Linked DNA regions of Styela clava. The protein of the gene in region 2 interacts with the protein of the main gene of each other region in a pairwise test. Links are inferred from orthologs where the notes say so. Each region holds a gene or a part of one and is shown on either strand. Other genes may lie near its edges.

The links.
Region 1: the proteins of major vault protein-like (region 2) and phospholipid scramblase 2-like interact in a two-hybrid assay, tested with the Homo sapiens proteins (2 studies listed by BioGRID and IntAct). The link is inferred for Styela clava from reciprocal best matches to the Homo sapiens genes MVP and PLSCR1.

What each region holds. Positions count from the first base shown.
Region 1 is NC_135257.1:8,201,722-8,217,440, reverse strand, and holds the start of phospholipid scramblase 2-like, read right to left. Parts: upstream 7,999-15,719; 5' UTR 7,919-7,998; coding exon 7,594-7,918; intron 6,515-7,593; coding exon 6,281-6,514; intron 3,662-6,280; coding exon 3,522-3,661; intron 3,017-3,521; coding exon 2,795-3,016; 3' UTR 2,791-2,794; intron 2,702-2,790; 3' UTR 1-2,701. UniProt on the Homo sapiens protein: Catalyzes calcium-induced ATP-independent rapid bidirectional and non-specific movement of phospholipids (lipid scrambling or lipid flip-flop) between the inner and outer leaflet of the plasma membrane resulting in collapse of the phospholipid asymmetry which leads to phosphatidylserine externalization on the cell surface.
Region 2 is NC_135260.1:15,797,056-15,813,117, forward strand, and holds major vault protein-like, read right to left. Parts: upstream 7,020-16,062; 5' UTR 6,977-7,019; coding exon 4,364-6,976; 3' UTR 3,827-4,363; downstream 1-3,826. Other genes in the region: aromatic-L-amino-acid decarboxylase-like, read right to left, coding at 11,876-12,085, 12,409-12,630, 13,131-13,221, 14,053-14,120, 14,536-14,630, 14,773-14,839, 15,129-15,247. UniProt on the Homo sapiens protein: Required for normal vault structure. Vaults are multi-subunit structures that may act as scaffolds for proteins involved in signal transduction. Vaults may also play a role in nucleo-cytoplasmic transport.

The DNA.
Region 1 (15,719 bases), on a different chromosome or scaffold from region 2:
TGGCAAAGAAACATTTTAAAATAAACACAAAAATCAACGAAACTCCATGGAAATGTTAAATGTGGAGGGTATAAACAGACAGTTATGTAAAAACACTCTTTTTAATAGTGATAAAATGCCACTGGTCAAGAGTCAGGCCAGTCTGTTTATTCTGTGGCAATCATCACAGCTCTAGCACATTACTGAAACAAATGCCTGAGGAATGCTTGTGCCGCATGTTCTATTCGAATTCGTATTACAGAACTTGCCTAATAAGCTTATGAAGAAGAAAGTAGTACAAGATTGAAACTTCTCTCGATTATCGAGAACATTTTCCTGAATCATCCCACCATGAATTCCCACTTCAAATTAAAATTTGCACTCATTCCATGTCCCACTATAGAAATTTAATATGAACACTACTACATACACGATGGCAGTAACTACTCTTGATTTGATTCAATGTCAGTAACTCAGTAGGCCAAAATCAAACTCAAACTACCACTATTTCAACAAGTTATGAAAAAACACAGTCGGAACATTGTAACAAAAATCAAAGATTGTTGATCATAAAATGCAATATATCGAAATCAGAATGCAATAAGATTGTAAATTACAGGAGGTAGCCGTATACATATTCGGGATCAAGAAGGTTACACTTAATTTAAAATGTTTTGTCCATCCAAGTTTGCTCTAAACCAGGGGTTCCAAAACCAGGGGTCGCGACCCCAAATTGGGTATGAGTGATAAGTAAGTAGAGTCGCAAACAGGTCACGGGGTCGCTGAGGTATGATAGAGGATGGATGTACAAAACATCTAAGATTTGACAAAGAATGTATAATTTAGCAGTTTGTACCATGGCTTTGTACCATGTAAAACAGGCCCATGGACATCGCTATCGCTGTTTGGTTTTAGCTCATTTTACTTAATATCACCACATAACCAAACTCAAAGTCGAGTGGAAGAAACTTATTGACCTGGGGTCGCACTGGACACTTAAAGGTTGTCGTTGGGGTCGTCCTGGAAAAAGCTTGGAAACCCCTGCTCTAAACAATGCTCTTCATGAGCAATTGCACATTGACTGCTATGCTCTAGATTTACAGAGTTCGCTAATGGGCATGATGGTAAATCTTGTGAGATAGAGTTAGGGATAAATGCCATTATGTCAATTAAAAATTCATGCAGTGATGTAACCACCCACCTCGCACTGTGTGATACATTGGCAAAAATCAAGGACACAAAAACAACTAGTAGGCCTACCTACCGGTAAATCAAATTTGAAATTGGTAATTACATTTTGACAGATAAAGAATGGAAATATAAATTTAAATGGATTGAGTGTTCTTGACTTCTTTAGAGGGCGGCAATATGAACATTTGTCCCATCCAACACCAGGTAAATCTTCGTTTCAAGCAAAATAGGCAACATAAACCATTTTCAACCCACCGCATTTCAACCCACCCACCAATCCAAGTTAGAAAATAAATGGATCAATGAAGATTACAACACCCATTTCAAGCACAAAGTTGTTTCTCTTCGACATATGTTTTCAAATGGAAAATGCAATCATTACTAATTGCATAATCCCACCATAATTCGTTACGTGGATTCCAGAAATGCATGACAATATATAATAGGTATGATTTTAAGTATACATATATGGATATATCCAAACAAACATTTTTACATTACTTGCAATATACATTTGATGGCCAATTTTGGTGTAAGTATCATGCATGCTTGTGTGAAGGTAATGGGGTCCAGTGGGCAATATGAATCAAACAAGTAATAATAGGTTATCAACACAATTTACAGTAACAAGCAACAGCATTTAAAATATAATTCATAGAACATATCAATGTTATTCGGTTATTAATCTTATCTACCAATGATAATCCATTTAGTGGATTTCAAAATTGTTTGTAGTAATCTTCTGCCTTCTTTGTGTGAAATATGGGTTGGACAAGTAAGAATAGGCTAATAATATACAGTAACATTAATAAATGCAATAAAAGTGTGAAAACATGCAAAATAATAGGTTTAGTTCCTGAGGACCAAATATTCCAATATACTAATAGATAATAGCATTATCAGGTTGTAACAGGACAAATTCCAATCTTTATTAAAAATCCTATTACTATTTAACAGCTAGTCCAAAATTGATATTCAGTTGAAATTTTACTGCAAGTCTACACATACTGCAAACCATTTTTTGATGTAAAAATATATACAGTGATATGTGCACAAGAATGCTATATACCAATAAACAGAACCAATTAAGCAGAGTGGTGATCCAATAAAGTCCGTTCCAAAAAACTTGAAAAAGTGTCAAACAATTCTACCATTGTATCTTAGTTGAAATATGTTTTAGTGAAAAAGCACACACATGAAATTGAGGCACATATATAGGTATTTTTCAGCATCTGTCTTCTGACAACTGAAACTTCTTTCAGTTCAAAATCAGCTATTTTATTAGTAGACTTATCGATACTAGATTCAGAAAAAATGATACATATTTCTGACGATGGGTAATAAATGTATAAAGAATCACATTGAATCGAGTTGCTTTCAATATTACAATATAATATTCCAGTAGATTTTTCAAAAACTCAACCATCTGAAAGTACTCTGAACTTACTTAACATAAAATTCACTACTAAGCATTGTCGACAAATGTATTCGACTTTTTTCAGATTTTCATGACTGAAGTTTAGCACAGACACTGTTAATTAAAAAAAAAGAGTTCTGTATTAAAAAACTATTCGTGATATGTACCTAGGATTCAAGATGCCAAATATCATGGATTATTACCTGCCTATTGCCAAACTCCAACTCTTTGGTTGTCTTGGTTGTTTGTCTGTTCAAAAAACATGAAATCAATGAGGAAGACTGCACCAAGTAAGCAAGCTTTCATTTTCACATCAAGATCCATTGGAAATTGAACTCCAAAGTTGTCAGCATCAGTAAAATATTCTTTTACGAGGCCAGACCACTGCTTTGAGATTTTTCCTATTTCACTGCCCTCCTTTGTTAGAACCTAATAAAGAGAAAGTTCTTCAAGTTGACAAAAATATAGTACGGTATATTACTATTAGGATTATATTGTTTCAAACATACACTTAATTAAGTATTAATATCTGATTAGTATCCCTCATAAGTCAGGAAACTTGTTTGAAATTTGATGGTAGGTTTGAGACAATCAGACAAGTATTGAAAAATCTTCTAAAATTCATTAAAGTTCTTTCATAGACTGATTTTCTGGTAACTAAAAATAACGCCATATCAACTTTTTGCTTTACAATATGCCATATTCATTGTACATTTATTATCGAATATTGGAAATGCACAAACTATAATAGGATTATTATAATCAACCCCAACTACATTAGTTGATTTAGCCAGTGAATAACTTTCTAATGTGCGAGTTAATACTAGAATATTAACTTGGTATCAAACAATGACTAGAACGATGTAAGCGGCATATAACTGTAAACAGATCATCTTCAAAGTGTGTGAATGTCTGAAAGTATGCGTAATTTTACCTTGAATTCAACGTCTCCACAGAAATTGCAAGTGAAACAAGGTCCTTCAATTTTTAATACAGTTTCACCCTGTTCATTTTTCACATCAAACTTCGGTAGGAATATATCCCAAGTCTGTTCAATAGAACCAATCACTGTGCCTGAAATAAATATTTTTGATAATGTGATACAATAGAAATGAAGAGAAACAATAAAACTGTGTTGACGTCCAAAATGAAAGAATAATAGAAGAACACTGTAGCAGTCAGAAAAGAGAATGTCATTGTTTAATCTGGAGAGTGGAGAGGTTGAAACTATTGGAACCATCAAAATTAACTACTAACAAGTATCAATTTCATGGAGTACAATTGCATTGCCATATCGAATGTCAAATACAATTTAATACTCCATATTCTCTAACCGCATGCATTGAAGATAACTTTTGTGACAAAGCATAGCAGTAACAATAATATAATTCATGAAGAGTATCATAATCAGACTGCAGAGAATTGCAGAAAACTACTGGGGCTAAAATAATACCAACAGCTACAGAAGTTCTTATAATCAGATTGAAAGAAATAAGAAGTTTTGGGACTGAATTATTTAAACACTTCTGGCAGCACAGAATGAAAGATAAATTTTTTATGAGCGGGCGAAACAAAATCCCAGATTGATATCCAGCAGTCCAATACACTACATACAGTGGTTTTTAGAGTAATAGGATTTTTACATTTACTTGATTTGCCAATATTATGTCACATACAAAAAATGGTTAACACACCGTGTTCGTGTAACTAAAACCACTGTGTAGCATTACAAAACACCAGTTGATGTATTTCCACCAGTATAGTATTAGGTTTATAATAAAACCATATCTTATATTCTATTGAAGGACATAGTATCCTGATTTTCTTAAGTAAGTAATGTTTATAACTTTGCGTTGATAACTGATCACACTGCTTTATTAGTGAAACATGTGCTTCGTATCACAGAGTCGGAGAAGGTCAGAAATTTTTGGGCATTATAAAATTATTTTATACATTGGAATAAGTAATAAAAATCACCTAAGAATTCAAAACAACAATCTCAAACTACATTCAAACAAATCGAAACTGTGTGACATGATATTCAGTTTGCGATCCGAGTCTTTTTATAATGTGCCAGGTACATCCGTATTTCCTCAAAGATACCGGTAATTATCATTTTTAAACACATTTTTTTCTTCAATAAACAATAGATCTTCCTCCAAGATCCATAAAATATTCATGACAAATTATAGTAAAAACGTGATAAAATAGGGAAGTAGACATATCAATTTTAAAATGTCCACGCCAAATGGTTTGAAATTCTTTTTTGCCAATCAGTTTTGAATTTAAATATTTTAAGTTGTGATGATACAGTATGACAAGTACAACTATATCATGGTATAGTATGATACATTGATACTATACCAATACCAATCTCATAAAATAAAAGTTAGGATGAGCCCATGTTTGCACAGTTTCAGCACCATGAAACACTACCATTACTACCAATATCATGGCATCTACCATACACGCAGAGCCCAAATCGAATAACTGTATATGATCATGATACTGCTTTTTGTGTATAGAAAAAGTTTTTATCACATTCGAGGCAGGATGAAGTGAAAGTACTGGTAATTCAACAGTCAGAATTGCATTATGTTTACCAAATTAATAAGAACTAGGAAAAATAATTGGGATTTGGGAATACAATACAACACGAAAAAGACAAATAAGTCGATTCAAAAGTTTTCAAAACGCTAAGCAATGTTAATATTTCATCATGTATCTTTTTAAAATAATGAATACTATATATGAAATTTGTCATAGCTTGTAAGATTTGCCAAAATTTAATTATCAAATCGACAAAATATAAAACAATAGGTCCTAACAAAGAAGAACAATACTGCAGCAACTTGAGGGTATTATTTAAAATTATACCACAAATCACAATAGATTAACATTTAAATGAGGGTGAAGGTACAGCTGTAAAATAATATTGTGATGAAATTATATAGGCAGTTGATCAATGTAGATGAATTGATCTATAAAAATACAACAATCCATATTCACTTTTATATTTATGACTCACTGTTGCATTGTTATTAAGTGAGTTCTAAACGACTTTTAATAGGATAATATGAGTATGAGTCACACAGCATTATATTGCACCAATATCACAATAGCGGTAAAAACTTAACAAGTAGGAATTACAATAGACATTTCAAACTGTTAAGTTAATATGGCAATATTTACTTAATATCACAGCGTTCATTTGAGCATTAGCCCAATAAGAATACAATATTGACAATTGACACCCAAGTCTTCAGGTGAATAGGCAAATACAAATGTTTCGTTGTTCTAGTTCAGTTGCCAGGTGGTGGTTATAAAAATTTCTATTAATGTTTCCACTGTTGCTATTCAACAATAATAGATTAGAATCTCATTTCATTAGTTGTATTCGCTATGTTATTGTAAAAAAGTTGTTTTAATAGGTAAGTTTCCACACAAAAAAACGAAACAAAACTTAAACTTGTAAGCCTATTATATAAATTGCCATGTTGTTATATAGATTGAACCAATTGGTTTTACATTGATACATTCAATACTGAATATTATTCGCTTGACTGTAATTATATCCAGACTACAAAATATTGTCCTCTGGTCATATTGAATATTTTTTCTGAGAGGAATTGAGTCATTGCATGATTTATGCCATAGTCTACTGGAATTAATTACAAAAATATACATATTTACCAGGCGGTGAAGTAATTGTCATCTGTTGAAGGCAACAAGGCGTCCAACATGAAGCACAGCGCAGTGGTCGTTCAAGATGCATCACTTCCTGTTGATGGTTGTCAAGAATTTTCATCTCAAAATTTCTACATGGTCCACAACACTGCCTTGTACAGCAATCACTCTGCTCAGCAGCAAAGTATACTTTCTGTCCAAGGCTGTTTTTGATCTCATATTTGTTTGCAGTTTCAAATCCTGTATCGAAAAAGGGGCTAAGCTAAAAACTTACGATGGAATATGGACATGCCATGTAGTATATTCGGCACCGCAACATTGGACAGTAATGTAGTCACATTTCTTTCACATAGTTACTAAAAAAGTCAATTTTATTCTGTATTCTTATGATTCAAAAAATTAATCGCACATTGTTTCTGTACAATCTGCAGTAATATATTTTGTAGGCATATTGAATGGCTTATCTGACTGTTTAGCATAACATTAGCATCAATTTTGTTATGAATTATTTACTTGAAAAATATGAATGATTTTGTCCTTGGAACCAGAAACGAAACAATTGATTTGAGATTTTCTAATACTTTCAATTGCAATTTCAATGAAATACCTATATATGAAAGATTTGAGAGTGTGTATAGAAAAAGTTTTTATCACATTCGAGGCAGGATGAAGTGAAAGTACTGGTAATTCAATAGTCAGAATTGCATTATGTTTACCAAATTAATAAGAACTAGGAAAAATAATTGGGAATACAATACAACATGAAAAAGACAAATAAGTCGATTCAAAAGTTTTCAAAACGCTGAGCAATGTTAATATTTCATCATGTATCTTTTTAAAATAATGAATACTATATATGAAATTTGTCATAGCTTGTAAGTTTTGCCAAAATTTGATTATCAAATCGACAAAATATAAAACAATATGTCCTAACAAAGAAGAACAATACTGCAGCAACTTGAAGGTATTATTTAAAATTATACCACAAATCACAATAGATTAACATTTAAATGAGGGTGAAGGTACAACTGTAACATTATATTGTGATGAAATTATATAGGCAGTTGATCAATGTAGATGAATTGATATATAAAAATACTAATCCGAGGGTATAATTTAGCAAATATATGTAAAACATCATACCAAATATTAAGCTTCAATTACCTGGGATAAAATTTTTCACGCTTTTATTTTACATTGATGAGTCAAAAATAAATCAATTTGTTGTTCATTCAAAATAAATAAATCTAAAAATTATCATATGAATAAATGAACAAACATATCTTTTATTGAAATATAATGTAATCTTTAATACAAACCTGTGAAAGCTTCCAACAATTCAACTTGCTGATGAACTAATATTTGATCAACTTGAGTTAAGTATTCCAATCCGGGCGGGCATCCTGGTACTCCAGTGGGTGCTTGCATCCATTGACCACCCGGAGGAGCACCACCTGGATGCTGCTGCGGGGCATAACCTTGCTGTGGGGGTGCGTAGCCTTGCTGAGGGGGTACAAAGCCTGGTTGAGGTGGTCCATATCCAGGTTGTGCATAACCTTGAGGAGGTGGATAGCCTCCCTGCTGTGGTGGTGGATAAGGTGCTCCACCTTGTGGTTGTCCAGGATAATATCCTTGCTGAGCCATGCAGTTTAGTTTATTGTACGATACAATATTAGAGGAGCTCTTGCTCAGAAAAAACGAAAAATTTATTAAAAATCCTGTTTAATAAAGCAAAACTTTTGTGACACTAGGGGAACTTTACTAAAAAGGGCTTTAGTGAAATTTGGAGAATTTATGCAGATTGGGGGTCTCGTGTAGTTTCGTACCTAACCTACTCCTAGTGGGCGTAGCATAACAATTTTTGATGGCAATTCTAACCCCCATCTGACTATGTCATCCAAAAATGACGTCACTACGATATTACAATCACGTCGAATATACGTACGATCGTCCGAAATGGCATCGGCCCCGACGATAAAGAACTGACTAACGTCATCGATCTCTCTCCTATTGGGATCATTGCAATGGGAAAACGAGAGAAATAGCTGTTCGATTTCGGGTGCTCGCCTGCGCGTCTTGGATGGCAGTTCGTATAGTTTAAAGGGCTCTATTGCGTCTAATTTTTAGATGGCGTAGTCAGGTGGGGGTTAGGATTGACAAGTGAATTAATTGTTATGCTACGCCCACTAGAAGTATGTTAGGTACGAAACTACATGAGACCCCAAATTGGTTTAAAAAACATCACACAGTCAGAAGATGCCAACTAAAAATGGAAACAAATTGATGGAAGAGTCGTAAGTAGGCACTTAGTCTATATCTTAGGATTTGCCAGTCTATTCTAGCAACAAAGATCGTTAGTGCATAGCATTGAATGTGCGACTCAAAAAACCATTCAAACAAAACATTGCTGAGGATAAAGCTAATCATGACAGAACAACATCAATCTGCTGATCTAGTAAAACTGCAACGCAAAAGATTTGAGCATCCTTAAGTTAAGGGAATATCTATAATAATATATTATATTCCAATAGATAATTACGATTTTGTATAAAACTTATTACATCCTTCTCTTATATTTTAAATAATGATTATGGTATTGGAGTTAATGTTTGCAAATTTGTTGTGATTTCATGTTGGCTAAACAACCCTAGTTTAGTAGTTATAGTCGGGTCTTACTACTGAATACAGCGCGAAACACCGCAAAGAGCGCGAAACACCGCAAAGAGCGCGAAACCAGCGCAAAACAGAGGGAAACAGCGCAAAACAGGAGACGTAGTCATTTCCACCTCCTGCCACGAAAGAACTACGGCGCCTCTCGCCATGGTTTTATGGCGGTATTTCCGGTATATTTACAAGGTTATGTACCGGATTATAGGTCATCATGCGAAATTTTATCTACCTTTTTGGTGCTCCAGAAGTATGTGCAGCAATATGTCGCACAACTTGAATCCGCTACACACACATACTATTTTCAGGTTGTGCGCCATCTTGGTGCACATACTTCTGGAGGTCCCTTTTTATCTAACCCTAACCCTAAAGCCAACCATATACATATGGAAAATGTTCTAAATTATGGTACCCAAAATGTGTCACCAGCAGGGGCAGACCTGCCATTACAGCATTTCTGGCTACATACGTTGGTTTGTGTTTTTAATTTGTTGCCGTGGTACTCCAACTCAAAACAAGGTGCCCCGAACTCATTGCAAAATTTTTTTCTGCTTCACACTGTTTCCCTCTGTTTTGCGCTCTTTCGCGCTGTTTTCTCACTGTTTTGCGCTGTTTCCCTCTGTTTTGCGCTCTTTGCGGTGTTTCGTGCTGTATTCAGTAAGTAGTAAGACTGGTTATAGTCTATTCTAGATAATTTGTTTGTTAGTTCTGCAGTTTGGTATCATTGATCATACCGGCTAGGGATGGGACGAGTCCGGCATTACAGAGATTCGACGAATCCGAGTAATAGGTCAAGGACTCGAATCTGCCGAGTCCGTGACGTCATAATGGAAAAGCAGAAAAACGTGTTTTTGACCATGCTACAGCAGCGAGCGCTCACAAACATACGTCGTAGCTCATATTTTTTGCCTAATGGTTCCGCAGATAGCTGTTGAATCATTTAAAATATATATTTTTTCTCTTTTTTGGCGGCCATAATACAAACGTAAACGTGGGTCAATGTGCGCCTTGGCTGTGAACTGGATTTGCGTCAATTCTGGGCGGCTATTCAGAAATTCTTACATGTCAATATGAAAAATAAAAAGCTTTCGACTACAATGCTTTCCCACAATTCCAGATATTTTTAGCCGTAAATTTACTATGTCATGTGCGTAATAGTAGAGAAATGCCACTCGTCGTCAATACAATGTGGTACATTTGCTTGCAATTTAGTAGTTCATGTAAACGTTCTAAAACTCTCCATGCTTTCCATTGCCTTTTCAGCGAAAGGATTGCACGCAATAAACTCGATTTAAAAGAGGTATTGATGAGATTCCACATTAGGTTGATCCAGAGCATGTTTCATTTTTACGCGAATCAAAAACTCACAAATATTGCAATAACACATATTTTATTGTGTACCACATGTATAGGATAGATAGTTTGAAGGCGACTGGCGCAACATCCATCATTGTTATAAGCGATTAATAGTTTTTAACTTGCGTTACCGGTATATTATCTGGATATCTGTCGTCATTTTATTAGGCGTGTTTATAATGCAAACGAGGGTTATTATTGTTACAGATCTAACCTGTAATTTTAACTAGTTGAGGTATGTAGTGGGATTTATAGAGGCAAAAGTACAAACATAGGTGTAAATTAGTAAAAACAGAATTGATTATGGACTCAGTAAAAATGACGTGGACTCGCCTGAAAAAATGCCTGGATTCGAATCGAATCCGAGTCCGGATCCGAATCCCGGCCCATCCCTAATACCGGCACGCCAATAACAATTTTAGTCGGGACCTTCCCAGACTGACGGAAGCACAGACAGACGCTCGCAAATCATTGACACGATAGTCCAATGGCGAATTGCTGCGATCGCGGTTCTAAGACACGGTAGAGCTAAACATAACCTGGCCACTGCGGAATCCACCATTTGAACCCACGTACCACTTCAGCGAAGCAAACTATCGCAAAGAAATAGTCTGGGTACCGGTACCGTACGGCAAATCACGTGAAAATACGGCAGATCGCTGCAGGAGAAAGTCGTCAATTCGCATAAATATTGTTATCGCTCAACTGCTGTGACGTTTTTAAACGATCACGTGCCGCCCATAAACATTTGCTCCCGGAGGGCTTTTTTATACGCTTTGGTTTATAAATAAAAAATTGTCTAACATAGAGTCGTCTAAACTCTAAACTAAACCTTTAAATATACAAAAAACGGACAACAAATAGGTAAATCAAAGCAGCAACAGTTGATCTAAATTAGATTTATGTCCAGAAAATCATGGGAATTATTTTGCTTGTCATCTTCAAAAGAACTTTTTCCAATGTCAATTTACACATATGCCTATGGTTTAAAGTTTAGAAAAACTAATACGACTAACTATATAAGTAATTTCAGATTGGCTAAAAGTAAAATTTCACGAGAAATCACTCACAAGAATAACTGACTTTGCTAAACGAAGATACTTTGGCGTATACCGGTACCTTCAGAAATAATGAATCGTAGTAGTATATATTTACGGTTGAATGTATCTTGATTATGGGCCGTACCGTAGCAATCGATCTTACGATGATATAACAAAGGGGTGTCTCAAAAATGTCCGTGTCCATTGTATCAATTGTTCCACACTGGTCCAGCTTGTCTATCACTTGTTGATCCGACGCTTGTCCTATTCGTACATCATTTTACCCACGTGTATCACTTGTCCCACAATTGATACCCCTATATCAATAAATGAATTTACCGAAATTCTAAAAACTCCACCCCGTATTCTTCAGAAGCAAAATATACCAATTTAAATTATTTGAACAATTTCTATGCAGCAACAACGAATCTAAGATCGTGATTTAGAAAAATCGCTGAGGTATGTGAACCCCCCAGATTTTTATCTGTGGGAATATTCGAAGAAACATGTGCATCAGAACATTCCTAAAACAATTGGTGAATTGAAAGATATTCTAGAAAGAACATATCTTCTGTTCAAAGCGTCCTGGATTTTTGAAATTTCGGGATACAATCATGTACAAACAGTTCAAGTGTAAACAAAATTAAATAAATTTTCTTCATTTTTGTAGAAGTAGGATAAGAAATGTATGGGTTCTGTATTTTGGGGTCACCCTGTATGATGAGACAACACGGGATAACGCTAGTTAGTAGTATATATTTACGCTCAAACTATAGTACATGTTACAGACAAATTTTCTTCGTTTTATTTTGTATATATTTGACCCGGGGTTATCTCGAGATATATTGGTCATTGCACTTTGTCGAATGACCGTTCACGAAATGACTCCCTTCAAGGCGATTTCACCATCTGTTCGTGGGCAGGAATAGACATGTCGGCGTATACAAAGTCTGTTATCGGCTTTTTATTTTTCTCTCGTTTTTGTTTGTTTATTATTTCGAATCATTGCCAGTCGGCCATTTACAATTTATTTCGTGTTAGCAGTTTGCCTTTAGGTAGTGCTAATTTATTTGCCGCAATGAGCGGATTTATTTGCTTGTTTTTTTGGATACATGACTGCTTTTGATTCGTATTGTATAATTAATTTAACGTTGCTATTGTTTTCGCTGTTTAAGAATTAAGTATGTAGTTAACATGCCTGTTGGGTTGGTCGTAAACTTTAGCAACCCTCAACAATTGATCATTCGTATTCTACAATGATCATTTCGACCTCAACAGTTGATCGTTGCGTCTCAACAATGATCATTTGACCTCAACATTACTTGATTTGGACCTCTACATTCTACAATACTGTGATCATTTGTGTCTCTAAAATACTGGAATTATTTCTGTATTTGTTCTTATCATCACACAATTTCGTCGTTCATTTATTCGTCTATATCGTACTTGTGCATGTAGACTGGTATTTTATCGACTGCATTATATTTCGTTCATATTCAAAGTTGTGGAGTTGTTAATTATCGAGAAACCTGGCAGGTTATACATAAAAGAAAGTTAATAGCGCGAAGTGTCACCGCCCAACACGTTATAGGCTTCTTGTAGAGCCTCACCATAAGCACTAAGTCGCTTTTAATCTACAGCAGTGGTTCCCAAACTTTTTGTACCATCGCCCCGCTACAGTAGTTTATACAACTTCATCGCCCCCCGGCACTGCAAAAAAAATTGAAAGTCTGAAACGAATATATTACAGACCAAATAAGAAGACAAATCATGTTTTATGGTGTTTTTTAATGAGATGGATGAGCTTGGTGTTCTTCAGCGAGTTTTTTATTATATCTAAAATTACCCCGTTTACTGATGGAAAGACGATTTCGTTGTTTTGATAGCAATAGCAGCTCGGCTGAAAACCCCTCTTTCACCATATCAGAGATCGGGAATGGAAGAATCCAGGGTTCTACCTCCTCAAAAACCACCGTGTACTCTTGCATTTAACTCCCTAAATTCACCCCATTTCACATTAAAATAATGAAAAAAATTTAATTTTCCAAAACGTATAATAATGATTTTCGTACATCTCATTGACCTTTACCTACATTACTCTACAGCCTGATGACCTTTACCAAAATACATGATATATAACGGTCTTCGGTAAAATTCATTCCCGATTCCTTATCCTACCACGTCCTCCAGTCCATAGAATTAATCAGCCGTTGGTTTTGGATTCGTGGACTCGGATGGCTCAGGGGTCGGCAACTTTTACGTCGCTCGCGGGACAAAATTTAGGGTTGCTATTCGTTTGCGGATCGCATATATTTTTTGAAAGTTAAAAACGGAACATCGTGCGAAAACTGCGACAATTCGTGAACTGAACTCAGTCGTCTTATTAAAAAATTATTACAATGATATTCAATGTGACACTGTCTAGTTGCTGCATCACGCTTGATAGCATCACGACGCCAAGATTGGAAGATTTTCTAAATGGGCATCACCTATCCTAGTTTTTGTATGTTCATTTTCGAAAATAATTGTTCGCACAAATATGTACTTCCAAACATCGAAGTGAATATTTTCGCATGATTTGTGAAATTTTGATAAGAATTATCTTTAAGAAGATACATTCTTACAAAAATCAAGCAGTGATGAATTTCTCGAATAGAATATGAATTTTTTTTCCTTATTGCATTGCAATATATTCGAATATTTACTGCGCTATTGAACCCCTGCACTCAGCATCAACTTTTCTGCGTGTTTCCATTTGTCTAATTATAATTAAATTGTAGGCTCGTTAAACGAGTAGCTGTTCAATATAATTTTTAGGATATATTAAAATTTAGTCTAAACGTGTCTCACGATAAATTCTGTTACGTAAAAAATGTAATTATTTTTTTTTTTTTTAGATATATTTTTTTAATAAAAAATGTAATTTACTCCTCGAACTTAGATAATAAATAAAATGAATTCATCGTTAAAACCGCCGTTTAGATGTTTCCCCTGGCATAGACTTCCTTGTTTACTTCGTGACATTGGCCAATCAGCAAGGTGCAAAAATAAACGTAACAATGTCCCCTTTCGCATCCACTCAGGCACATTCCTCACTCAGACAGACTTTCAGGCGTGGTCGTGAACATTACCTCATTTCCGCGATTTTGAATATGTCGTTTCGGTCGATCGTGCGTATATTTGGCAAGCTCTATGCCGTGATTGTGATGTCGTAGTGATTTAATTTTTGGATGGCGTAATCAGATGGGGGTTAGGATTGACATATCAAAAAATTGTTATGCTATGCCCACTAGAAGTCCGTTAGGTACGAAACTACACGAGACCCAAATTCTTTACCGGTACTTTCGAAAAACAGGTTGTTGAATGGTATGAACTAGAATGATAGTTTGAAACAAAAACTGTATTTTATAGGCAACAATTCGCGAAACCACTCTTAAAATAAGCACCGAAAATTTTAGAATGGTAAAGTATGGGAAGAAATTTCCGGGGTCAAAGGTCGGAGAAAGGTCCATTCAGTGAAGCGTCCCGGGCCAGATTACTACAGATTTCCCGACCACTGGGATACGCAAACTACCGTACCTTATTGCGAAGACGAGTCCAGCAATCCTTTCGCACGTGACTACGCCCCCGTTATTCAAACCTACGAAAGCACGCAGGGTACAGTAATCAAGTGCACGATGCGCCGAGCTAAAACAGGTTTCGCGAAATCGCCCCCCTCTGTATCGTTTTCGCCCACCGGGGGCGATATCGCCCACTTTGGGAATCACTGATCTACAGTACCTATCAATCAGTGGCGTAGCATCCACCCCCGCAACCCCCGCGGTCGCGGGAGGGCCCACAGCGGTTAGAATTTAGAAATGTGAGCCGCAAAACCTAAAGTTGCATTGCAAAACCAGTAATGCACATGTTATAACGTTGATGTTAGTTCTGCTCAAATCGTTTTGCTACGTAACAATGCCAGGGAGTTGTCGATTTTCGGCGTCTTGTGGTTTGATCGCACCGGCAAAATTACGAAGGCTGTCAGAATGATGTCGAAAGCAAAACTTCTCAGTGCCGCACAGAAACGCAGAAAAAGGGCAAAAGAGGAAGCACGTATCCAAAATATAAAAGTAACCAAGATAAACGGCAAATTTTATTACCATTGCCTTTTAATAGTGACATGTTATGCTTTTTGACGAAATAAAAAAAAGCGTTGTTTTAGATTATGTCCGAGATTTTTTAGGGTCATTTCCACAAAATATTTTTGCGGGAGGGGGGGGGGGGGGGGCACGAGAGTCTTCCTACGCCACTGATATCAATGCCAAAAGTTAGATCAGGGGTCGTGCCAAAATCAAGGCTTGCAAGTCATTGGCGGGACGCACATATTTTTAGAAAGTTCAAAA
Region 2 (16,062 bases):
ATGTCCAATGGTGCAAATGTCCGCGGGTTCAAATGTACCGGGTGCAAATGTACATGGGTTCAAATGTCCGTAAGTGCAAATGTTTTTGGGTACAAATATCCATGGGTGCAAATGTTCATGGGTGAAGCAAAAATCTGCAGGTGCAAATGTATGGGTGCAATTGTTTATGAGTTCAAATGTTCGTATGCAGTATGCAAGTGAAATTGTCCTGGGTGCAAATTACAGGTTCAAATGTTCGGGTGCAAATGTAAGTATGCAGATGAAATTGTCCTGGGTGCAAATCATTTGTTCAAATGTACGGGTGCAAATATAAGTGGGTTCAAAGATAATGGAACCAATACTTCTTATACATAATGTATTTTATCTAATGTACTACAATTCTGCAGTGTTTGCATACTAGACTACATAACTCCTACATGACTTATCATTGCTGCCCAGGTTCTTGTCGTCTCTACTAATTTGGACCAACTGACATCAGTAAAATTGGTTCCTTTCTCCTCTTCCTCACAAACGTGCATTACAAAAACGATCATTGTTTTCTGAATTAAATATTTTGTAGTCTAGCCTATACATTAGTATAAGCGTAAATATATACTACTACGGTATAAGTCTGCTGAATACTTGAGAATCGTGATTGGATTATTCATATTCATTATTCACGAGCATGAAAATCCCATATCGTTGTTTGTGGCATATCTTTCTAGGTCTAGCCTTTTTTAAAGTTACCGCACCGTTTCTATTTAACAACGTTATATGAGCTAGTGTTCAACTTAAATTGCTATCCATGGTAAGAATTTACAGGTGTTTATTAGCTTACTTATACTTTTTAACACCGTCTTAGCATAACTTAACTGATAATAACTAAATAAGACGATGGAAAGGCTATTCAACACAAGAGCGAGCAGTTCAAACTGAGATTCATCGGACCGCCACCAGCTCATAAAATTTTAATTGTTACGCCACGCAGAAGTCTGCGATCATTGACCAATGTTGCCGGAAACACGGAGAATACAGGACAGATGGTGGCAAATATTTCTTGTAGTAAAAGCGTCTTTTTCGTAAAACGGGCAACTTTTGGAAATTGGAACAAGGTATTATTTATTACTAAATTTCTACGAAACATTTTAAAATTATTTCCAAGTAGTTCTTTTATGTGCGCTACGAAACGGAAAGTTAACGGCCTCGTCTCGCGGCCTAAGTCGTCGTAAACGCGATGCGAGTACAAACGCACGCCGTACGCGCGTACAATGAGCGAGCCGTTGGCTGGACTATGTAGGTTGCGCTGAACGAGAGCCTGGCCCGAGCGCTAGTCGGCCTAGCCCTAGCAGAATTATGCCCCTCGCATAGTTATGCCCGGGTTTTAGGCACCACTGCAGGAGGTCGACAGGGCTCTTGTAGACGAAACGCATGGCGCTCTGCTCAGCATCGCCTGGCAAATGCGTGGATATTGCGGTCAGCGCAGGCGATGGGCTAGGCCGCATACGAAAGCCGCGTCGGCCGACCGCAGCTATCTGATTGATTCTGCCTAGAGTGATATGCTCGTCTCAATGATTAAGATAGGTAGATGTATAGCGACATCTAGGCCCGGGTCGCGTCGACCGTTGATAGGCCGAGTGGCGTGTTGACGCGTTTCGATTTTGGTACGTATTCCTGATTGATACTCGATACTTGATTGGTGTATATCTCGCGACACGCATCTCAACTGTAACAAACTACTGCCTCAAACTGGGTTAAGTCATCTCACTGTTTCATCGCTATTTTTATATTGTTTTATAATTGCCGCTTTATTTGATGAATACAATGCACAGCCAAAATTTTACACGTTTTAAATAGAGACTTGGAAGCTTACAGTCAAGGAACCGCAGTCTCGGCACGCGCCGAGTCATGAAAACACAATACCACGCCCCTACAGAGAGTTAGAGATACCTACGTGATCAAGATCCACTTCAACTATTATTATACCTTAAGTGTCGAAGAAGCCGCAAATCAAGGTTCCTAAAGATTTTATTACTGACGAATGGCTGATTTTAGACTTTTATATTAGCAACAGTTTCCTAGGTTTCGACACATTCGAAATGTTACAACCGACTCCGATCAGAGAGATTTATTTTTTCGTCAACCAAAATAAAATAACAGCCATCGTTATAAAAAAAATAACAACAAGTATTAAATTAGTTTGGTATAGACAGGAGGTAAAGATACGACCAGACGGTCATCAAAGTCAGCTCCAGGCCAAGTTGTATGCCGCCAACCATGGTATTATCAACAAGCTCTAAATCTCGTATTAGATAACACTATCGAAAATTTCTGCAATTTCCATATAGCACGTGTTCCTCAACCAATAATAGGAGCTGATTTTCGGTCAAAACATGATCTTTTGGTCAGCTTACGCAACTCACGCCTCTTCGACCCAAACTGCTAATATCTACATATACGGCAAGAAGTTCATTGACAAATCAATCGCAGCCAACTTCTTTTCACTCAGGCATCAGGGCCACTAGGCACATAGGTTGAAATAATTCGAAGATTTGAAAATCCCTCGACATGCATCAGTTAGGGCGAAATTCGTGAATTCTTGGATCAGCGGAAGGTGAACTACTGCGAAGTGAAGGAGCTAGTGTCTAACCTTGGCCGAAAGGTCAGAGTAACCCGTTGAACCACATTCGTGATTGTTTAATTAATTCCCTTGAATGAGGAATTCTCAGTAAGCGGTAATCTGCGTCCCTGCTCTTTGTACACACACCGCCTGTTGCGGTACTACCGGTACCAAACTTTGCTGTAAACTTTTTGCTTCTTTTCATGATGTAATGTTTGACTTTTTATCCTTTATGTATTAATTACTGTTGGACTTAATCATAGATGTCGCTGCTTGTAAACCAGTTTTGGTTTCTCGCGCCACCTTTTGCCCTGAAATGCCAAAAGTGTATTTTCTTTGCGTGCCGAGAATACGATAAAACTTAATTTGATTTTTAGAGGAAGTAAAATTTATAGCAAGGTTATTCCGCAAGTGAATCCGTGGAACGATCATTATCGAATGTAGGCGCCGTCGGCCGACCGCACTTGTCTTTAGGTGCCTTCTGCTTCGTTTGTCGGTGTTTTTGTGTAGTTTTGTGGTGACGTCTGCGCTTCGATGCCGGGTGAAACGTAGATGATGACTCTCAAAACTGATAATGCAAAAATGAGACACTTGCGGCCGTTAATATACAAGCCTGTATAAAGTCAGGAACGCACCGTAAACCATTGTACCCACGGGGCTCATTCACCAAAAACAGAGAACGGTTGATAATTCTCAGCGACATAGATAAAAAGTCGGAAGTGGGGCTTGTCATTTTCAAATACCTCACCATTCATTCGAATATTTTCAAATACTGAAGTTATGCAATTGTATCATTTGTATGCGATTTCTTTTATTTCGATGGGATCACTAACTTACCGAAAACGTACTCAGACAGTTCCCTGGGTGTTCAAACACAATAGGAAACACATTTCATCAATACCTCACGAGAAAGAGTCACCTGTCAGAAGTGGCTTCAATAAAAAAAATGGGGGGGGGGGGGGGGGGGTTCATCTAAAATTTAGATTCTATACCACTGACGGGCGACAAAAACTGGATAGCGCCAATTCGAAATTTTTGTTCAAGTCGATTCGAAATGCCCATCCTCTTCAGGGGTATATGTTGGAATGTAGACATCAACCCGCATCGACCTTGCTTCATCATCTTATGTTATCTGGCGATCAATCACATGATAATTGAATAGAAATGAACGTCCGACCTGCATCTCATTAAAGTTGCAATATAATAAGTTCACCTTCTGATAACACTCTCTACAATCTGGACTAGACATTTTAATTTTTATCAGTATATGAAATAAAAATTCCAACAGATTTTCATCAGTTAAAAGTAACTCATGATGATACTATTGGTATTTCGAGCTATGTCACTTCCGAATTTTTTTCAGTGAGATAATTATGTTTAACTTTGGACAAGCACAATACAATAAACACACTTGAATATTTATTATCTACAACATAACCTATATCGGTTGAGAATAAATGTGCTAAAGAGTAACTAGTATAATAGAACTTGTATACAAATTAAGTTGAAAACAGGTTCTAATCTAGATGGGCACATTCAAGCTGTGCTTTGCCTGTCGTGTCGTGCATAGAAAATATACATTGTGGAAAGGGTTAAGATAGATAGGTCACCGTTACATGATCGAAATAAGAAACTAAAAATGAACAAAGTAACATCTTATTTAATAGTGCACTGTTGATTAAAATTGTTGATACGTCATACATGGGAGAGATTATGTGTTTGAAGCTACAGTAATATTTGACAACTACTATTCAACTGTATTGGAAATCACTCGTCATCATCTTCATCTTGTCGTGTTCTCACAACAGCAGAAGACTGAAAACCTTGACTGCCAATCAAACCATGAGCAGTGTTGAAAAGATTTATTGGAGAATTTCCATCGGTTATCAGAGTTGATGTTAAACCGAGGGCCTTCAGCATTTTCACTTGCATATCTGGTCCGGCAGAAGCAATTTTGCAAATAGTATCCGGTCCGATGGTTTCAACCATATTTTTGAATTTTTCTGTCTCGATATCACCTAACTGCTTCTGTTTCTTTACTTCCAATTCGTCCTGCTCACGAGAATATTTCAGTTCTGCATCACGGGCTGCGGTCAAGCGCTCTAACTCAGATGTTGAATCGATTCGTGCTGCCTCTGCTTTGAGTTTTGCTTGGTCTACAGCAGCTTGACCTTCAATTCGAGCAGCTTCTGCTCTTGATTGTGCTTCTGCCTTAGCTTGCCCTGTGCTTTCAATTGCAGCACTCAATGATTGAAGTTCCAGAAGATCTCTTCTGGACCGTTCAGCCTCTGCTTCATCAGTAATCTTTTGACGTTCAAGTCTGCCTCTTGCTTCCTGCTCTGCCCTTTCTGCTTCATGACGTGCAGTCGCTTCCTGGGAGTTTGTTGTGATTTCAATAGCAAGTTGAACAGATTTCACCAGAGCATCTCGGGTTCTTTGGTCCACAGGTTCAACGGACTGGATATCGATAGAAGTTATAGTCAGCCCATTTTGTGGGAAAACGAACTTGTCACGAACTTTTCCTTTTTCATCTACGCCAAATACAGAAGACCTAATGATACGAGATGAATTCTTATGAAAATCATCGAAAGTGACAGAAGCAACAGCCCCTCTTACACGAGATGCAATTGCCTTGCAACAATCTCCCACAAAATCAGGTACACTGAATAATTTTGCAGCATCTTTCTGGTCTTTTCGGGCATTGTCTGTATCAAAATACCAATTATATGCAAGTTGCAATGAGAGACGTGCATGGTCAGCAGTTTCAATGGTAATGACATCAGTACAAAAATCTGGTCCAAGAAGCAACGCAAGCGACCTAATGACATTCGGACGTTTTGGTTTTCCACCCGAGAGCGACAATTGCGTGAATTGCTCATCAGGATTGAGCATCACAAGCTCAGGTCCGAATATCACTCGTGCTTTCTTTTCCTTGTAATCATAAATTTGTACACAAGCATTATGAGGAACTCTATAAGAAACTACTCTTGTTTTATCACGACGTAATTGAGAGGGGCCTTTGTTTCCTTTCTCCCACATCCCTCTGTCAGCCGAAGGATCGATAGCTGATGTCACTAGTGCCTCAACATTGGGAGGAAGCTCTTTCTCCCAAAGTTCTTCATCATGGGTCAACATGTAAGTGCGGCCACAAACAGCTCGAACTTTACCAGTTTTTAGGTCACGTATGTATATACCTTCATTTTCATCGAGAGAAATTGCACTTCTTTTAGCAAATACATTGACCTCAACGGATGGAACATATTCGGTGGGTCCTCGGATCATCCACTTGTCTCCTGGCTTGCGCTGTATTTCATTGCTATCATCAAAATGAGCTTCTTTTGCTTGTAATATAAGGCCCTGATCTTCTCCAAGCACATAAACATCCTGAATGCCTTTCTCTAATTTTTCACCAGGTTGAAGGAAAAAAGATGCTTCTCCTTTCACAAGTTTGCGCTTGCCAAGTTGGTTCTTTCCATCATCTTCTGAAACTGGGTCAACTATCACACAATATTGTCTACTGTTCAAAGTAGTTATATCAACAACACCTAAGACTTCTTCATGAACATCTGGAATATGAGATTCCGTGTCCGACATACGAATTAACCATTCTTCTCCATTCTTTCGTTTCACATTCAAAAAGTCTGTGAAGGTACGACTCGCTTTCATATGCAAAGCTTTCTTTTCAGTAAGAACATATGCCTCCACAAGTTCGACAACTTCTTCATAGGTTCCGGGTAAATATGCTCCAACTTTTTTAATTATCCACTCCTCCCCAGTCACACGCTCAGTGCCATCCCGATCAACTGTTTCTTTTCTCGCACGCAATTTTATTGCTTGATTTTTGCGAATCACTGTGGCTCTGATAGTCTCCTCTACCAGAACCTCTTTGCGTGGAATGTAGGTACCTGGTCCTTCAAATAACCATTCGTCACCAGCCACTCTCTTAACATCACCGTCAGTAAAATCAAGTTCCGCTCTCATACGCAACGCAGAATTTGCAGGGACAATACGCAGTGCACAAACAGCAGATTTTAAAATTTCACCAGGATAAAGTGGGAAGGGATCCTGAGCCAAACGAATCTCTCTATCAGCATAGCTGAGCTTTGCCTGACCAGACTGGTCATACTGAACTTCACCTTCTTTATTTCTTACAACAGGATTTTCTATGGTGCAATAATGACGAGGTGGAATCGTAATCATACGCTCCGGTCCATATATGACTCTTTCATTATCTTGCCGAATGTAGGTTTTAGGCCCAAGCTCCAACTTTGTTACATTGGTGTTCTGGTCCAAAACATGGATGTAGAAATAAGGCGGAATTCTGTAAAGTGCTTCATCCTGGCCGGACATGTTAGCAAATGAAGGTGCTTTCTTACTCATTTTGAGTTTTACAAATACCTATACAGACTGTAAATATATATAAGGATTAAAGATACAGTATTTTCAATTTTTGTTTGGTAAATTGGTACCAATCTTTTAATTTACTTAGCGAGACATCTATGACTAATTTTAACGTTTTCCTTTGCTATTTATTACATATATGAAAATATGTTGGAAACAGAAAACAATAATATAACATCAGAAAATCACTACGGCTGTACGGCGCTAAAAGCAAACAAAATACCAGATTCTCAGTACATGAATTCACTTTGATAGCATGAAAACTTATATTACTGTATTACTAAATTGGATAAGGGTGATACAATAAAATCGGGGTCTTTGGAAGTTTTTTTAGAATCATGACATGAAAATTAATGCAATTATTTGTGTTCTGCTTCACTGTGTTCTGAAGAAATTCCAGAACAAAAATTGCCTCATCTCAGCTAAGGTGGTGTGAACCTGATTTGCCAAAGTCAGATAGTTGCATGCTGATAAAGTACAAGTAGTATACAGATTTAAAAATTAAATGATATACATCTGTGTGAGATAATGTGAATTGCATCAACATTGACTAATAAAGGTTTATTCTTTCCAAAAGCAAAGCACAATTAATACAGTAATTTCATTGAGAAAAAATCATCCTGTTACTTGTCAAGGAGCATCTATATTTATTTTTGTTCTTTTTTTATGCACAAACATGTGTTTACGCAAAAACAAAACTATTTCCTAAAAAAGCCAATCAACAGACAAACCAATGTTTTCTCATAAACCATTTCTCTTCATTCTCACATCTGAATTAACAGAAGTTTTGCAAATATTGTTTCCAGGTAACTAAACTCTTTTCATTTAATTTTTAATTAAATGAAAACTACTGTTATTGCTGTATTGCTTGCAGTTTAACAACTGAACAACATGAATTGAACAGAATTATAATCATATCATTTTGATTGATTGAAGTTGATTTCATTTTTTCAAGTATTCGCTTACAACATGAACACCGGCCACAGTTTGCCTCAAGTATTCTTTTTTAGGAAGCACTGTATCACAATTCTGATGATTTGTTTCACCATTCTGGAATCAAGTTCTATTAAGTGGTCTAGTGACTAGTCCACATCTTCCTGCACCTAACTTCGATTTGACTTCATGTAACTACTGAACTATACCGGTAACCACAGAATCAGCTTTGATATCTTTTTTGATAAATATTTTTCTTTACCGTTCACAAAATCTATATTTACTGATTTAATTTGGCAATGATTATAAAATTATTAATATGGTGTGACAAAGAACTTTTATCATTTAGTTTTTTATTAATTTACTACAGTACAGCAGTACCGGTACCACTGTACCATGTAATTTATTCAAGGTTTTTGTGTATTACTTCCTTATATCTCTCTGTTTGTGAGTGTGAATTAATTTAAGACTTTTCCGGTGAGTGAACACGTACCGTTACGGTACGGTACCACTTCTTTTGGCAAAACCTTCCAACTTAAATCTGTACGCTAAAAACCTTACTCAAAGTATTGTTTGCCCCTCTGATTCTATAATCCTGTAATCAGTTTTTACTTTTTTTTGGTAACCATTTTATCGTCTGTTATGCTGATTATGGATTCGAAATAAACTCGTATTTATTATTATACACAGCATTATCAGAACAAATATAAAATTAATAATAATTAAGACTATAAAACGTTACACACACAATAACAAATGGCGAACGTTTGACAGCCATTTAACGTTGCGAACCGTTACTGTTACAATAATAAGCTTCATGAGCAGAGAATAATAAAAGTCGAACGCGCAATTTATGCCAAGCGCACACTCAATGGAAATAGGATATTATTCAGGCGAAATTGCTACGTGTGTGCGCTTTCATAAAACGAGGTTATTCATTGCACCATTGTGATGCGACCCACGAAAGGGTATTACCGTTTCTTGCGCACACAGTAAACAAAAGAAACATCCAAACAAGTTCCTGTAGCAAATATCTATTTGTGATCAAGTATGAGAAGAGCTACGTTTGGTCATTTGAAAAGTTTTAACTCCAGTCAATGCAATCTACTTCAATTAAAAATTTGGACCATTCAATTGACAACTTCGCAGTTAGTAGCGGGATATAATATAACCACGTGAGGAACACCGTATTTACTTTATTCTTTGACGTTAACGTTAATATTTACGAATTCAATACGTTTTCCTTAGGTTTTATCGCAGAAACATCTGTCGCCCGTACTAAACAATCGATAAAACCATAATCGATAAACCCAACTTAACTAAAAACTCAACCAATCGACTATAATATGTGTTCTTTACATTATATCTCAACAAGGTGGCCCAGCACACTTTACAGCTGTCGTAATGTTGGTAAATCTAAATTGAACGGAATTCGGAATTACGCATGAAGTTAGTTACATCCACCCACTGGAGTTTACCAAACACTTCGACAAGCAACGTCATATCCTTCCTTTGTATATTACGTGTGATCTCAGTCATTTTAGTATTAAGCCAACCCCATATACTGAAGTGGCACCATAGTTAGTGCCACTATGGTATGCGATTGAGATCACGCAAAGCACGTGAGATCACATACCAAAGTAGTTTTCGACGCTGGGATATCATAACAAAGTGGTACCCAAGACTGTTAGTTTACTAATCATGAATGTAAAAATTAGCCGTTTTATCCATTGTTATTTTTCCCTTCCAAATATCATTTCAGAAAATTAACTTATTCTCGTTTTAAATTACTAGATTCAATGCTTCCAGATGATATTGGAATTTTTCCTTTAGTGCAACAATATTCACAGCGAAATCAATTGCACTGTAGCGAGTGCACAGTGGTTACTACGGATTTTAATGATATTTAACCACTTTGTCTTATTTATATGTTAAAATGTGAAGAAATTATGCCGTTACACACTGTTTTCTTTTGGTGATTTACACGCTTTCAAGCAAGCATTCCTTGTATGACACCTGCGTGCTGCGATATTTTAGTAGGCTATTACAGTATATAGGCTGTATAGTAAAAGGGTGATTTTCTGTTACAAATATATATATATATATATATTTAAGCACTAACGATCAAGACTGGTTGTACAGCGAGGGTGTCATGGGGAGATTTATATTCAAGTCGATAGCACGTAGTGAACTTGTATTGGATGCCATGGGTACTGGTGTTATTCACTACGAGATGAAAAACCAGTGCATCGTCGCGTATTCGCAATCATGAATCCCCACTTCCCCAGTGGTTTTATTTAGTTTTCCACAAAGCATGGAACCCCGTGTTGCCCATCAAGGTTTTGAGCCAATATGTCTCGTTTTTCTCAAAGTAGCATTCAGATGTCAAGACCTACTGCTCCAAATATGTGAGTAGGCCTAACTGTTTCGACCCTGTCAATGTCTCGTTTCACACTTTTGGTTTTGTGTTTTTTAGGCCTAACCTGTACATTTCGTACCAATTTGTGCATTGGTGTCGTCGATTTCCCATCCTAAGTCGTTTCCAGGATTAGAGATATGTTTTCATCTCCTTCATTTACAGGATTTCAACCCCCCGTCATCATATAGACAAAGGTTTTCGGTCTCACCAAAAATACTTCCTAACCTGCTTCTTGCATATCAATGACTGCTAATAAGAGCCTTCTTGAAATGAAAGCTTCAATAAACAAAAAAACGGATTTTTGGCAAACTGAATACTTATAAGAGAGCATTTAAGCAATATGATGGAAAAATATTTACACGAATGAATTACATATATATAGAATATATATATAGCTTTTTTATGATGCGTTAGAATATATTTATTTTTTCAATTTGATTATTATTAAATTATTAATTTATAGGATTAAATGCGAATAACAATTTTTCTAGCACAATCACAATCGGAGCTGTTTTACTGCTACAAAGCACAAAGCATTGATGTTTCACTTATGTCAATTTTAGTTTTAGTCATTAGTTTCATTAAAACTTCTTCATGGATGATTGAATACCACTTTACAAATACAGTCGCTTAGTTGTAATACTTAAAATGAAATTTTTAAATATATATATACCACTTTTTTAAATTTGCAAATCCTTCGTAGCGAGTAAATAAAGAAAGTTAGGCCTGCTGTGTATTTCAATACCTTTCATCATCTATTGTTAACAGTGCATGTTATTTGCCTGAATCAAGGTCGTTTCCCCAATTCAATATCTTTATGATATATTTGTGCAACATTTTATGCGCAAAAGTTGATTACGTATTTTCCCTCGCTCGAGTGTTGCTTGTCTTTGTTTTATGGTTTTTAGTTAGTTACAAGTTTGGTTTCATCACATATACTTGCGTTAACGTTTCAAGCTTATTTTGTTATCTGTTATTTGGATTTATTCGATTGTCCAACCTTCTAGAATATACAATCTATTGTGTTTTTATTGATCTCTGAAAGAGTTCAGATATGATTTGCTCCGCTAAAGTACCTTAAATAGTAGCCTACTGGGGTAAGGACACTCAGATGGGAACATTTTTATATAGCATATATATTTTCATTATATTGGTGAATGAAAAATAAAGTTAATGTATCATTGCAGTAATTGTATATGAAAGAATTCTAAATTTTGAATATATGTATATATATATTGAGAGTTAACCTTGAAATATTACCCTATAATTTCTTTTTAAATACAATACATATTACACTTTAAATTAGTTTTCACATATTTTGAATGTACGTCGTCTCGCACTGCATTCGTGACCTAAATCAATTTTAGCGGTCTGCCTAGCGTATGTCGAATGATGGAATAGTACTGATACGTTTTGAGTATAGGGCTAGATTGTATTTTTGTCACTGTATCTTATGTTTATTTTTTCCTTTATTGATGGTCCCAAATTTTGAAGTAATTATCAGTAACTTCAATCTTTTATTTTACTTAGTTATTACTGGGATCTATTTGATCGAATAGTGAATTAGTATGTCTTTTTATTACTTCCCAGCAATTCTTCACCGCATTCTCGTCACATGCTATAACTCCCACTGACACACGAAGAAAATAGATTCCTTCAACTTCCGACGATATGAAATGAATTTCTCTGGAATCGTTTATCTGTCTCAAAAGACGATCGTTGATATCTCTGTTTTTCTGTTAATCAAAAATATAGCAAAGTTTACTACTTTTTCAATTGTAAATATATTTACCTATAGCATCTGCGCAAGGTAAATCAAAACGCTATTACGCCTCATACAATTCAGAACAACGTATGGCCTCTTCCACACATACAAACTTTATATTTGCTCTAGATTCATTACAAGCCAGAAACAAAGCATACATAACTCCACAAACATTTTCCAATGTGATTTGTACTATTCGAAATAATTATTATCTCTTGTGAAAAATGGTATCAACAAATCACATTCTCACATACGACAATCTCCCTTCCTAATCATAATGAATTATCGAGATACCTTTCTGTCATTTTTGTATAGTTTGAGTCGAAAACAAACCAGTCCAAGTTCAACGGAAAATACAATTTCAAATCTTTTGTCTTCTAACACATAAGATTCAAACATTTTCGCCAACGCTACGTCTTCTCTGATTTTATGTCTCAGTCCTTCGATACCGATAAGTCGAAAAACAAACCAAAGTTTCAATGCACGAAATTTTCTGCCTAGAGGAATTTGACAATGCTGGAAGAAACAAAACTTTGTGATAGTCATATCCGTGAATTTAACGCAAAAGTTTTTTTGCAACATTTGCCACGAATTTCGAAGCTCCCGCAGTATGTACACCAAGATGGCGCACAGCCTGAACATAGTATGTGTACCAGGTTAGGTAGGTTTCAGGTTGTCCGCCATCTTGGTGTACATACCACCAAATTTGTACGTGAAAGCATATGAACCTGTACATGTGTTTCATCTGTAAACTAGGGGGTAATTTGAAAGAGTCAAGAACTTTTCGGTTGTGCTAAATAAGTTGGATTTTTAGTATGATGTACATCTATATCTGATAAAAATTGCACAGTCAAGCCATTTATATACAGAAAAATTGATATATGTAAACAATACAAAAATGTGTTAGTATATATATATATTCGACCCCGAGATAGATAAATGTATTCAATATTTCTTTGATTGGTTTACATTCATTGTGAAATTGATTTGTTAACAAATTAAGTTAAGCAGCTTACCCTGTAGTCAATTGCAACGTTTTCCTCGTCGTGGCGTAAATATAATGGATTGAGTTTGAATGAATTGATTAAATCCAAACTATTTTTGACCCTGAAATACGTGTTAAACAGTTATTGAATTCATTGGAAAATAAACGTAAAACCTCTTTATTGTACGTTTTTTGAGTATCTCAAAAATGTTGAATCTCACTTTTTCCGCATGCCCCACCTGTTTGACGCTTGTCTCAGTCGTATCATTTGTCACTCGTTCCCCACGTGTCTCACATGCCCCCCTTGTATCATTTGTTCCACCAGTCAGTCATACACCACACACAAGTCACACAAAAAAGACAAGTGCGGGCCACGTAGGACAAGTTCAACACATGGAATTCGACATTTTGAGACAACATCGATTTTAGGGAATATTTACCCTCGTTATACTCATATAGTTACCCTTGTGTGTTCAACAATAGCATAATATATAAGATTTTACATTGGCAGTTGGCACACGCATTTGCTCATAGTCAACTACCATTTCGCAATAAATAAAATTATATTACTTGCTGACTTTGCTAATTATTACATCAAGTTAGAAAAATCTAAATCGCCCAAACATTCCAACTATATATAAGACCAACAACTTGCTCAACATAGAAATTGTTGGTTCCCGAAACAAAAAAGATTTAGGATTTGTATATCCATTAGGCTTCTAAGGGACGAACTCATTATAGTCCTTCTATGGTTTTGCGCTAGTGGATTCGTATACAAGCAAAAGTAAAGACACCCGCTACCAATGATGATCCTCGTTGGGCTTGACGGAATTTATTTAAATTTATACAATATTACTGAAATTAAACAGCCTTATCGGCCTTAAAGAATAATTTTCCAGCACTATACAAATATAGAAACCGATCGGCCACAGTTTTTCATAATATAAACTTACCAAAGTGGTGAGAAGTCGAAATTCACCATCAGCCATTTGTGTGGATTGAAATTGTAAGAGGTAACCATCTGACCGAAAGCAATTGGCATGTTATAGTATTGATTTCATAATAGAATGTTTTAGAAAGGGCAACATACGTAATTTAGAAATACGACGTACGAATCAAATATGCCGTTTTTAAACATTCACTCGTCGCAATCGAAAGGGGAGGCGGAAGGAATGTAGGAGAAACGTAGTAGTGGAATGTTAAAAAATAAAGCCAATTTGAAGTTAAAATTTAGTGCTAAATTATGAGAAAATATGAAACGATGTAAAATGGCTTTTTAACGGACATTTCCATTTTTATCTATTGAAGGGGTGAAACAATTGCTCCAACAGTCAAAAAAATATTTTGATCTTGTTTATTGTCACTAATATTTTGAGTCCGAGTTAATAAATCTGGTTATTCATGCTAAGTAAATTCAGTGTATTATGTATTCCCACCTCAATTCCTTTCATTCGATGTCGAAATTCGGGACAAATGAAACTGCATCCGGCGTATGCTGCATCAACATGAAGCCATACATCCTCTTTGTTACCTGAATGTAAGAAATTGAAATCGGTTCCTCTGATCTTTTTCGTTAAAATTTTAGGTTGCTCACAAAAGTGCATAGCAATTATAAAAAAAGTGATTCATTGACATTTTAAATTGTCATACTCAAATTACCGCCATCAACTTACAAACTTCTCCGATTTCTTGAAGATTGTCAAATGAACAACAGGCCGTTGTACCAAGGGTTGCACAAACCTGAGTTAAAAAGAAGACGGTTTTAAAACATATTTCATTCACTACAAATATAACCATGCGAATTGCGTATATTTCAGTTCGAGATTCAATTTGCATTAATTTATTATGAGCGTACAACAGCATTTCTCACTCTTTGTCGCGGTCAATTTTACTGATTGTGAACGTATTTGTCCATAAATAATAGGTGTATTTTAGTCAATTTTCAGAATATATCTCTAGATTGTGATAAAGCATGTTCGACTGAAAAATTTATTCAATATTTCTGTGAGTAATAATATTTAAAACTCACATAAAATGGTATTCTTCCATCATCTTTGTCTTTTTCCATTGCCTTTTTTAATGCTTCTCCTCTAACTGCAATATCCTTATCAACAGTCACTTTATGTAAATGCACCATTGCTATGAGACCTGTGAAAACTTACAATTATTATTTTATTCATTTCGCCTTGAGATTTTTGGTTTTCAAAAAAAATGCGCTATGCTCCAAAGTGGGCAAGTTTGTCCACAATAAGCATTCTTGTAAGTCAGATGTAAATATTAAAATTATATCTTCGTGTTGAATATTTTGAAATCTACAGTGCAGTGCACTTTTGTAGATACTAGCACTTCAGATAAAGATATAAAAATATAATATTCATAAAAGAGCAAGTTCGTTACGTTAAACTTAATTTTGTATGCTTCAAAATTGTTCTGAACGCAGCCGTCTTGATTTTGAAGTAATTGGAAACTGGGCCATCTTATGTTATAAGTCTGTGTAAACTATCATAACGATATCTCGGGGAAATATTCGTTGGTGTAAATGTTACAAAATTGGCCGCTTCCGTAGTATGTGAACCAAGATGGCGGACACCGGAACGTAGTATGTTTACCAGGTTAGGGTTAGGCCATAATTCTATTTCAATTTTCCTTATTTTAGTTCTATTACGAGTTCGGGAACTAGCCAAGTGACTCCCGTAGTATTTGTACCTGAAATTTGGCCTAACCCTAACCTGAAAGGCATACTACGTTCCGGGTCCGCCATCTTGGTTCACATACCACGGGAGTACCAAAAATGCAATATACTGATTTGCAATTAACTTTAAGCAATTCACTTTCGCTTACAGTCGAATGATGGAATGTGGCCTTGAATCGATTCATTTAAAAGTGGTAGTTTCATTCGAAGTCTTTGCTTTTAATAACTGGGGCCAAGTTCAGTTTCATATCATCATGTAAAGCACTTGTTT